3 linked regions of the Anolis sagrei genome follow. The protein of the gene in region 3 binds, or shares a complex with, the protein of the main gene of each other region. Links are inferred from orthologs where the notes say so. Each region holds a gene or a part of one and is shown on either strand. Other genes may lie near its edges. The genes, in order: TMEM216, TMEM17 and TCTN1.

Region 1 (3,750 bases), on a different chromosome or scaffold from region 3:
GTTGTCTTTTGATCTGCCCACTCCACTTCTGAGTCTCTGTTCAGGGGCTTCCAAGTATGGCTGAAAATTAGGAAGAAATTCCATCTGAACATGAGGAAGAACTTCCTGACTGTGAGAGCCATTCAGCAGTGGAACTCTCTGCCCCAAAGTGTGGCGGAGGCTCCTTCTTTGGAAGCTTTTAAACAGAGGCTAGATAGCCATCTGTTGGGAGTGCTTTGATTTTGATTTTCCTGCTTCTTGGCAGGGGGTTGGACTGGATGGCCCATGAGGTCTCTTCCAACTCTAGGATTCTATGACATGGAAAGAGTCACCTCGAAGACTGAGTAAAAACAGTCAGGCGTCCTCTGGGCAACATTTCTTGTAAACGGCTAATCTTTCCAAACCCCAAAGCATTGCTTATAAACATGGCTAGGTTATAGCTGTTCAAGGTGAAACCAATACTCACTGCAGAGATTTTGCAAGGGGAAGGAGAAATTGAATCTGGACCATGTGTGCAGCTGCACAGTCAAATTAATGCAGATTGACACCACTTTAACTACCACTGCAAAATCCTATAGGATCCTGAGGCCCCAGCATTCTTTTGGCAAAAAAGGACACATCCCTTGTAAAACTTACTTACTTACTTACTTAGGCGATCCCTCGTTGGACGAGTAAGATGGTCTTCCATTATGGATTTCCTTGTGGGTCCGTAGGTGGCTGTGGAGCCCTATTCTTGCTCTGCATCTTCTTCCGCAGTGAGGGCATTGGTTTCCAGGTGGAAGGCGTTCCCGGTCGGGGTTGGCTTGACGCGCCTTCCTCCTGGCACGTTTCTCTCTTTCACCCTCCACTCGTGCCTCCTCGAATTCTGCAGCACTGCTGGTCACAGCTGTCCTCCAGCTGGAGCGCTCAAGGGCCAGGGCTTCCCAGTTCTCGGTGTCTATGCCAGAGTTTTTAAGGTTGGCTTTCAGCCCATCTTTAAATCTCTTTTCCTGTCCACCAACATTCCGTTTTCCATTCTTGAGTTCGGAGTAGAGCAACTGCTTTGGGAGACGGTGGTCAGGCATCCGGACAACGTGGCCGGCCCAGCGGAGTTGATGTTGGAGGACCATCGCTTCAATGCTGGTGGTCTTTGCTTCTTCCAGCACACTGACGTTTGTCCGCTTGTCTTCCCAGGAGATTTGCAGGATTTTCCGGAGGCAGCGCTGATGGAATCGTTCCAGGAGTTGCATATGACGTCTGTAGACTGTCCACGTCTCACAGGCATATAGCAGGGTTGGGAGGACAATGGCTTTATAGACAAGCACCTTGGTCTCCCTACGGATGTCCCGGTCCTCGAACACTCTTTGCTTCATTCTGGAAAATGCTGCACTTGCAGAGCTCAGGCGGTGTTGTATTTCGGCGTCGATGTTGACTTTGGTGGAGAGGTGGCTGCCAAGGTAGCGGAAATGGTCCACATTTTCTAATGTTACACCATTAAGCTGTATTACTGGCATTGGAGAGGGATTGGCTTGTGACTGCTGGAACAGCACCTTGGTTTTCTCAATGTTCAGTGACAGGCCGAGCTTCTCGTATGCTTCTGCGAAGGTGTTTAGAGTGGCTTGTAGATCTTCTTCTGAATGCGCACAGACGACATTGTCATCAGCATACTGGAGTTCTATAACAGATGTTGTTGTAACCTTGGTTTTGGCTTTCAGTCTGCTGAGGTTGAATAGCTTGCCATCTGTCCGATAGATTATTTCCACTCCGGTGGGAAGCTTCCCATCAACAAGGTGAAGTATCATAGCGATGAAGATGGAGAATAGAGTTGGGGCGACAACTCCCATAATTCCATATTGAGCTATAGCAGTTAAAGTGGTGTCAAACTGCATTAATTCCGCAGTGGAGATGCACCCCATGGCTGGCTAAGAGTTATAGGCAAGTGCCCAGAATGGAAGGACCCTCTCACATCACACAGTCAGTATCCGACTTCAGCTGCCATGGCAACATGCACTGGAATCCTATAACTCGAAGCTTAGGATGAGGCATTGTTAGCCAGAGAGATCACCTGGTACCCTTGAACAAATTATGTATTTCAATAGATTTTGATGGTTTTAGCTATTTCAATAGTTTATTTATTTATTTATTGCATTTCTATACCGCTTTTCTCACTCCTAGGGGGACTCAAAGAGGTGTACAGCATAATAATTGGCAAAAATTCACATAAGAATAAAAACAATACATGACAAATCTTAAAGCAATAACATATAACTGTAAATTAAAATCATTAAAATCGTCAGACATGATCGTTTGCCAGTTTGTGTAGCTTTCAATTACCAATCTTGTAAGCAGTGCAATATTTGATCTAATTTTAGTGTGAGAGTCTCCATACTGCTGAGTCTGGATCTTCCATACATTAGGAGTCCTGACTGCAGAGAGGTTTCCCTTTCTCCTCCCCCAGTTTCCCTTCCCTTCTCTTCCTTTCTGCCTCCCCCACTTCCTTCCAGGGACACAGCTCGTCCTCACATGATACTGAGTGCATCTACACTGTAGAATTAATGCAGTTTGACCTCTCCAGTCCCCGCCACCACTTACTGCGAGGCGCCATCTTCCATCTCCATGGACACCAACTACGCAGAAAGCCTGCGGCCGGCTGCTACTTCTCCTCGCCCGGATGTCAATCTGTGCCCCACAGAGAAGGGCCTGACTTAGGGATGAAGACGTCACTTCCGCTATGGGATCGGAGCCGCTCTAGCCCTGGACTTCTCAGGCTCCAAACACAGGCCGGTCAGTGTGGCGCGAGTCTGCATTCGATGCCGGAAACAACGACGTGGACTCTAAAGAGGAAGCCGCTTCGTCCTCACAAGAGCCCGACAGGGGTCGCCTCCGTTTCCATAGTTACCCCTTGGCCCCGCCCCTCGCCCCCACCAATCAGGGGGCGGAAAAAGGCCTCCCATAGCAACTAAGCAGAACTAAGAACCAAGAAATAAGCAGCCCTTCAGATGCATCTATATCAGGCTTAGGCAAACTTGGGCCTTCCAGGTGTTTTGGACTTTTGAAGTCCAAAACACCTGGAAGGCCCAAGTTTGCCCAGACTTGATCTACACTGTAGACTTTATTAATTGACCCCACTTTAACTGCCATAGCTCAATGCTATGAAATCTTGGGCTTTGTAGTTTGAGGAAGCAGTGGCACTCTGGCAGAGAAGGCTCAAGACCTTGTAAAACTACAGCTCCCACTATTCCTTTGCATTAAGCCATGGCAGTTAAAGTGGGATCAAACTATATTCATTCTATAGTGTGGATAAACCCCAAGATCCTGCTTGAAAACATCTTTACCGAAGGACTTTCCGCCCTTCTATTCCTTCATTTCTCCCTTTTCAGTATACAAAGCAACTTTTCACTGCTACAGCTTGTCTTGACTTCTATACCCCAGGATTTGAGTACGCACAGAATTTTGTGGTTGCTTTGTTTCAACAGCATGTTTCTTTCCCCTATTCCTGTCTTATCCCTGGACAATGGAAGTGCAGGCTGAGATTCTCTTATCAGAAATGTTTGGGACAAAGAATATTTGGGATTTTTATGGATTTCGAAATATCTACTTGCATATACACATGATGGCATGTCTTGGAGAGGGAGCCATGCTTAAACGCCAAGTTTATTTTTGTTTCTTATACTATTAAAAGAATTTTATATACAATATTTGTATTAATTTTGTGCATGTACAATGAACATAAGAGAGCAGCCTCCCATGTGAACAATTTAGTATTTTGGATTATTTTGGGATTCCAGATAA
Region 2 (3,750 bases), on a different chromosome or scaffold from region 3:
CCAATAAGCAACTGAAAAAGGAGGATAAAGAAGCGATAACAAACTTACTAACTATAGCAAGACTGCTCATAGCAAGGAATTGGAAAAAAGAAATGAATATACGAATAGAGGAGTGGTACAAGGAAGCATGGAAAATAGCATTAAATGACAAACTGACATGTATATTAAAGGTTTAAAAAGGTATATGGAAACAAAGTGATTTTGATGCTATATGGGGAAAATTTGTGGTAAATGGATTAAAAAATAAGGAAGGAAAATTACCGTCACAAGAAGAAATGAAATTTTGGACAGATGAAATGTAAAAAATGTGGCTTGAGACGGGTGGAGGGGAGCACTGAGGTGAAAATAGGGGGGAAAAAAAAAAGAGAAAAGGGGAGGAAATGTCAAAGCAAAACAACAAAACAACATGTTAAAGAGGTTGATGTATAAAATGCAACAGTATGTAATAATTGTGATAAATCAATAAAAAAAAATTAAAAAGACACCAGAGGCACTCCAAATGGCCAGCCTCTGGTCAAAGGAAATTTAATATAATGCCAAGTTTTGAACTTTGTTTTTTATACATTACTAGCTGTCCCCTGCCACGCATTGCTGTGGCCCATATGGGGGTTCTGTGTGGGAGGTTTGGCCCAATTCTATCGTTGGTGGGATTCAGAATGCTCTGTGATTGTAGGTGAACTATAAATCCCAGCAACTACAACTCCCAAATGTCAAGATTCTATTTTCCCCAAACTCTACCAGTGTTCACATTTGGGCATATTGAGTATTTGTGTAGAGTTTGGTCCAGACTCATCATTGTTTGAGTCCACAGTGATCTCTGGATATAGGTGAACTACAACCCCAAAACCAAAGGGCACTGCCCACCAAATCCTTCCAGTATTTTCTGTTGGTCATGGGAGTTCTGTGTGCCAAGACTGGTTCAATTCCGTCGTTGCTGGAGTTCAGAATGCTCTTTGATTGTAGGTAAACTATAACTCCCAGCAACTACAATTCCCAAGTGTCAAGGTTATTTTCTCCAAACTCCACCAGTGTTCACATTTGGGCATACTGAGTATTTGTGCCAAGTTTGGTCCTGATCCATCATTGTTTGAGTCCACAGTGCTTTCTGGGTGTAGGTGAATTACAACTCCAAAACCAAAGGACACTGCCCACCAAACCCTTCCAGTATTTTCAGTTGGTCATAGGAGAACTCTGTGCCAAGTTTGGTTCAATTCCATCATTGGTGGGGTTCAGAATGCACTTTGATTGTAGGTGAACGCTAAATCCCAGCAACTACAACTCCCAAATGAGAAAATCATTTTTTTTTTAATGGACATACATTGGGTTGTTAGGTGTCTTGTGTCCAAATTTGGTGTCAATTCGTCCAGTGATTTTTGAGTTCTGTTAATCCCACAAACGAACATTACATTTATATATATATATATATATATAATTGTAGTAATTAATTCTTAATTACTTTGGCCACATCATGAGGAGACAGCAAAGCCTAGAGAAGACAATCATGCTGGGGAAAGTGGAAGGCAAAAGGAAGAGGGGCCGACCAAGGGCAAGATGGATGGATGGCATCCTTGAAGTGACTGGACTGACCTTGAAGGAGCTGGGGGTGGTGACGGCCGACAGGGAGCTCTGGCGTGGGCTGGTCCATGAGGTCACGAAGAGTTGGAGACGACTGAACGAATGAACAACAACAAATTTTTAATTTACTTCTGACACGATTCCAGCAGTGTTGTGTGTAGAGGTTTTCCCCTGACATTAAATCCAGTCGTGTCTGACTCTGGGGTGTGGTGCTCATCTCCATTTCTAAGCTGAAGAGCCGCCGTTGTCCATAGACACCTCCAAGGTCATGTGGCCAGCATGACTGTATGGAGCGTTGTTACCTTCCTGCCAGAGAGGTACCTATTGAACTACTCACATTTGCATGTTTTCAAACTGCTAGGTTGGCAGAAGCTGGGGCTGACAGCGGAAGGTCACACCGCTCCCCGGATTCAAACCTGTGACCTTTCGGTCAACAAGCTCAGCAGCTCAGCCAGCGCTTTAACCCACTGTGCCACTGGGGGCTCCTAAGGCCCCTTATACCCTGCCATATAATCGAGGGCCCTTCTAGACAGGCTCTATATCCCAGCATCTGATTCCGCGTTTTCTGCTTTAAACTGGATTATATGAGTCTGCACTGCCAGATAATCTGGGATAAAGAGAAAATCTGGAAGCAGATCCAGGAATATAGGGCCTGTCTGGAAGATCCCCCAGATTATCTGCTTTGAAATGGATTGTATGGTATTGTAGAACAATTTTAGGAAAAATGTGTGCTGTTTCCGAAGAGCCAGGAACAAGAAGTTGGGGTGTTAGGCCGCAGACCCGGCGTGGGCTGCACTGTCCGACCAGTAAGCAGGGAGAGTGGGGACCAAGAAGGGAGGGGCTTCTCCTCCTCCCCCTCCCTCCTTTTTTTTTACTGGCGCGTGCCGCTCCTCGCGCTCTCAGGTCAAACGACGACGCACAAGGCCTCGCGCCACCGTCCACCCTTTCTGCCTTGAGGCAAGCTCCTTTCCAACCCCTTGCCACCTTCGTCGCCATCTTTGGAGCTGGCGAAACACCGCCCCTCCCCTCACCCGGAACGTCGTCGCCTCCGCTCTCGGGCCCCGTGCGGCTGTTGTCAGTAAAGACCGTGCGGCTGAAAGAGTTGAGCCGACGCCTGACCGGCTCCGGTAGGGACATGAGGCCTTAAAGACAGGCAGCCGCTGCCGCCGTCGTTCGTTGCCGTAGCAACAGGGGGCGTGGCCGGGAGCCTAGGCGCAGGCGCAGAGTCGCTCCTTCAGAAACCTGGTCCTCTGGGCCAGTCCCACACACAGTGTCTCTCAGCCAGAGAGGGCGCCGCGTGGCGGGAAAAGTCTCCCCGAACATAGGCTGTTAAAGTGAGACAAACCTTGGGTTTCAGTGGCAGACTTTGCTTACTCTTCCTAGCCCAAGAATTGAAGCCCCAGACAAGCTTTTAGTAGTGAGAAATGAACCCTTAGGCCCTTTCCACACAACTGAGTAATATCCCACACTATCTGTTTTGAACTGGAATATATAGCAGTGTGGACTCAGATATCCCAGTTCAAAGCAGATATTGTGGGTTATTCTGCCTTGATATTCTGGGATATAGGGCCCTTAGAAGACGAATATAGAACCTTTTAATTTCGTTAGTTATTCAGCTAAGTCTGTACATGGTCCTCAGTTTAGGTCTTAGGGATATCCGGCAGTAATACTATGAAGTCGTAAAATTGCAGCTTGGCAAAATCAAAACAGAGTCCCAGGGCCCTTCCACACAGCCATATAATCCAGAATATTAAGGCAGAAAATTCCACAATACCTGCTTTGAACTGGGTTATCTGAGGGCCCTTCCAGACAGGCCCTATAGCCCAGGATCTGATCCCAGGTTTTCTGCTTTAAACTTGATTATATGGGTCCCCACTGCCAGATAATCTGGAATAAACAGAAAACCTGGGATCAGAGCCTGGGATAAAGGGCCTGTCTGGAAGAGCCCCTAGTCCACACTGCCATATATCCCAGTTCAAAGCAGATAATGTGGGATTTTATTCAGCTGTGTCATTTTTTTTAATATTTGGCATTTCAGAAGTACAGGCAGTCCCCAAGTTACGAACAAGATGGTTCTGTAGGTTTGTTCTTAAGTTGAATTTGTATGTAAATCAGAACAAGTAAATGTCTTATATGTAACTCCAGCCATATATATATATATATATATATATGGGC
Region 3 (3,750 bases):
CCTTCCCAGGTAATCCCCAGAGCTTGAGCTGCTTGTCTGTTTCAAGATGAAAAGCACATGTCTGCATTTTAGATGGATTAGGAATCAGCTAGTTTTCTCTGTAATAGGCAGTAAGAGGACCTAAAGCTTTGGAGAGCTTCTGTTCAACCATTTCAAAGCTCCCTGCTTGGGCGGTGATGGCATGATCGTCGACATAGATGAAACTCTCTGTCCCTTCTTGCAATGGCTGGTCATTCCTGTAAATGTTAAACTTGGATGGAGCAAGCACACTCAACTGAGGCAGGCCATTCTTCTGTTTTCGACATCTGCTTCTCTGACCCTGGAACTCAGCAAAAACTGTTTGGTAGCAGATTTCCTATGAAGCAAGTCCAGGAAGCATACTAGGATAAACAACAGAAACGACTAAAAGTTCCAGGAATGATCTTAAGTGGCGTGAAGACCACATGTGCAGTATGGAAGTGCTGTTTTTGTAAAACCAGGCCTCCAAGTCAGCAGTGCCCATAACACTAAAGAAAACAATATAGAGCTTATAACAGTAGAGCTTAGTAACATCACAATTACCTCTATGTATAAGCCCCCAAATGAAGCATTTTGTTTCTCCTCTCCTGAAAACTTTGATAGGCACCAAAGGGCGGTAGTAATTGGTGACCAACCCAATGATACAGTCATAGAGCACCTGGGGCAGGCTGGGGATCTCCTCTCGCAATCCTTACCAGGCCTGGTCCTTATTTCGTGTCAAAAGCATTGCACAAAAATGTTGTAAAGAAATGATTTTGGGTTGGAAATATTAGCTGTTTACAAGAAACATTGCCCAGGGGACACCTGACTGTATTTCTATCTTTTTTTATAGATTACCACTACACGCTCTACGTGGGGTTGCCTTTGAAGACTGTTCAGAAGCTTCAAGTGTTCAATGGGTGGCAGCCAGGTTGCTCACAGGAGCAGCATACAGGGAGTACACAATCCCTGTTATGTCAGCTCCACTGGCTGCCAGTCTGCTACCGAGCACAATTCAAAGTGTTGGCTTTAGCCTATAAAGCCCTAAACCAGTGGTTCTCAACCTGTAGGTCCCCAGTTGTTTTGGCCTTCAACTCCCAGAAATCCTAACAGCTGGTAAACTGGCTGGGATTTCTGGGAGTTGTAGGCCAAAACACGTGGGGCCCCACAGATTGAGAACCACTGCCCTAAACATTTCTGGCCCAGTGTACCTGTCTGAACGTATCTTCCCCTGTAAACCACCTCTGAGATTAAGATCGTCTGGGGAGGCCCTGCTCTCGATTCCACAACTGGTGGAGACAAGTGACAGGGCCTTCTCAGTGCTGGCCCCTCATCTATGGAATTCCCTTTCCAATTACATTAGATCAGCCCCTTCCCTCCTAGCCTTCAGAAGGAGAGTAAAAACATGGCCTTGGTATCAGGCTTTCGGATAATAGCGCAGTGCAACAATATAATTGGAATATGTGCAATGACTAGGAAACGGCCTTAGACTACGATTTTTGGATGGTGTGATTTTAATACTTAATGTAATTTTAAATATTTAATATGCATTAATTTTAATTAAGCTTAATGTTTGTATGTGTTTAAGGCATGGAATAATTGTCATATGTAAGCCGCCTTGAGTCTCCCTTGGGGTAGAGAAAAGCGGGGTATAAATAGAGTAAATAAATAAATAAATATTTACTCAATCTTCGAGGAGGCTCTTTCCATGTCGCCTCTAGGGCCCCTTAAGGACAGCGACTGGTCCCTCCAGGTGTTTGAGACTCCAACTCCCAGAATGCCTGGCGCCTGGGGCTCCTGGGAGTTGGAGTCCCAAAGGTTCCCATGCTTGAGGGGATGGACACTTCCGGATGGTCAGACTCCAATGGCTGACCTGTTTCCACTCGCCTTACCCCCCGCCACACACCACCCAACACCCATTTTCTTGTACTATGTCTCTTCAGGAGAAGGGCAGGGCTCACCGTGAAGGGCGGGCTCGGGCCAGGGCCCCAACCGCGAGGGACTTCCAGGAGGCATGGACTCAGAAGTAGCCCTAGGCCCGGGTGCAGGAGTAGATCTAGGCCCGGGGCTGGGCCTGCCCTCCTCGGCGGGGGTGGCTCCCGAGGTGGAGATGCTCTCGGGCTCCGCGGAGGACGCTCTCGGAGTGGTGAACAGGCCCACCGGCCACGGAAGCAGCAAGAGCAGCCACAAGTAGAGCGGCGAGGCTCCGCGCTCCATGGCGCCGCGAGGCCTCGGCAACGGTCGCTATGGATACAGCGCGAGGCAGCACGGGAGCCGGGGCCGAGTTTTCCGCCAAAGCCGTCGCTATGGCAACGAATGCCTTTGCCGTCCCCAGTGGACTCACCGAGAATTGCACCCGCTTGATCTTCTGCCCCTTCGTCAGAGGCGCTGTTTTGCCCAGAAGGCCGCGGCTCCAATGCATTGCCCTTGGCCACCCTCCAGTGGCGACATCGGAAATTGCATCTTTGAGCCGTAGTGGGCTGCGTGTAAGCCATAGGCAACTGTGTGATGCAGCAACTAAAACCAATGCGATTCTGGGGGATTGCGTTTGGTGAGGCTCTCGCACTCTAAAGCAGGCATGGGCAAACTTCGGCCCTCCAGATGTTTTTGACTCCAACTCCCACAATTCCGGTAGGCTGTTAGGAATTGTGGGAGTTGGAGTCGAAAACACCTGGAGGGCCAAAGTTTGCCCATGCCTACTCTAAAGGCTTTGGAAAACTAAAAGGTAATGAGGATGAACTAGCAGGCCCCCGCCTTCAAGCTGATCTGAGACGCAGCAAGGAGTTCCACAGTTCCTGGAAGCATGGATGTTCAAGATAACAAAAGGGACTCCTCTTCCTCCAAGATGCCGGGGTGGAAGCACCAGGCAGGAGGGAGGGAGGGAGGAGGGGAGAGAGACCGTTGCCTTCTTCACCAACTCTTCCTTGCCTCCCTCCCTTCACTGCAGGAAGGAGGAAAGAAAGAGGCAGAAACAAATTTTATTTTTGAATTCTCCCATTCCTCTGCGTCCTGCTCCCTTCTTCCTCCTCCAACTCCTTCTTTCTTTCCTCCCTCTCCTTCTCTCTCATTTCTGTAGATCTGTCTCGGCAACAGGAGCATACATTTAACTCTCTCTCTCTCTCTCTCTTCTATTAACATCCAGACTGGGAAGTAGCTCCCTCTGCCACACTCCTTCTCTCCCTCACTCCCTTCCCTTCTTTCCTCCCCCCTTTTCTTCCTTCCCTTCCTTTCCTTCTCCCCCTTCCTTCCCTTCCTGTCCCTCCTTCCTTTCCTTCTTTCCCTCCTTCCCTTCCATCCTGTCCCTCCTTCCTTCTTCCTTTCCTTTCCTTCCACCCTCCCTTCCTTTCCTCCTCCTTTCCCTTTCTTCATTTCCTTCCCCTTCATTTCCTTCCCCTTCATTTCCTTCCCTCCCTCCTTTCTTCACCCCTCCTTCCTTTGCCTCCTTCCTTCCTTCCTTCCTTCCTTTTTCCTTCCTTCCTGTCCCTCCTTCTTTCCTTTCCTTTCCTTCCTTTCCTTCTTTCCCTCTTTCCCTCCCTCCCTTTTTCCTTCCTTCCTTCCTTCCTTCCTTCCTTCCTTCCTTCCTTCTTCCTTTCCTTCTTTCTATGTAAGATATAAATACAATATTTTATATATTTTATATACATTACTATATACTATGTTACTATTATATATTACTATATAATACAAATTAAATAGACTTACAGAATAGAGTTGAAAGGGACTGTTAAGAAGTAATGAGAGAAGGAGGGAAAG

Evidence for each region.
Region 1: TCTN1 (region 3) and TMEM216 share a complex: the UniProt entries of both Homo sapiens proteins name them as parts of the tectonic-like complex. The link is inferred for Anolis sagrei from reciprocal best matches to the Homo sapiens genes TCTN1 and TMEM216.
Region 2: TCTN1 (region 3) and TMEM17 share a complex: the UniProt entries of both Homo sapiens proteins name them as parts of the tectonic-like complex. The link is inferred for Anolis sagrei from reciprocal best matches to the Homo sapiens genes TCTN1 and TMEM17.

The regions. Positions count from the first base shown.
Region 1 is NC_090021.1:236,146,586-236,150,335, reverse strand, and holds the start of TMEM216 (transmembrane protein 216), read right to left. Parts: upstream 2,825-3,750; 5' UTR 2,564-2,824; coding exon 2,551-2,563; intron 1-2,550. UniProt on the Homo sapiens protein: Part of the tectonic-like complex which is required for tissue-specific ciliogenesis and may regulate ciliary membrane composition.
Region 2 is NC_090021.1:152,383,639-152,387,388, forward strand, and holds the start of TMEM17 (transmembrane protein 17), read right to left. Parts: upstream 2,800-3,750; 5' UTR 2,713-2,799; coding exon 2,607-2,712; intron 1-2,606. UniProt on the Homo sapiens protein: Transmembrane component of the tectonic-like complex, a complex localized at the transition zone of primary cilia and acting as a barrier that prevents diffusion of transmembrane proteins between the cilia and plasma membranes.
Region 3 is NC_090034.1:31,327,270-31,331,019, forward strand, and holds the start of TCTN1 (tectonic-1), read right to left. Parts: upstream 2,502-3,750; 5' UTR 2,493-2,501; coding exon 1,959-2,492; intron 1-1,958. UniProt on the Homo sapiens protein: Component of the tectonic-like complex, a complex localized at the transition zone of primary cilia and acting as a barrier that prevents diffusion of transmembrane proteins between the cilia and plasma membranes.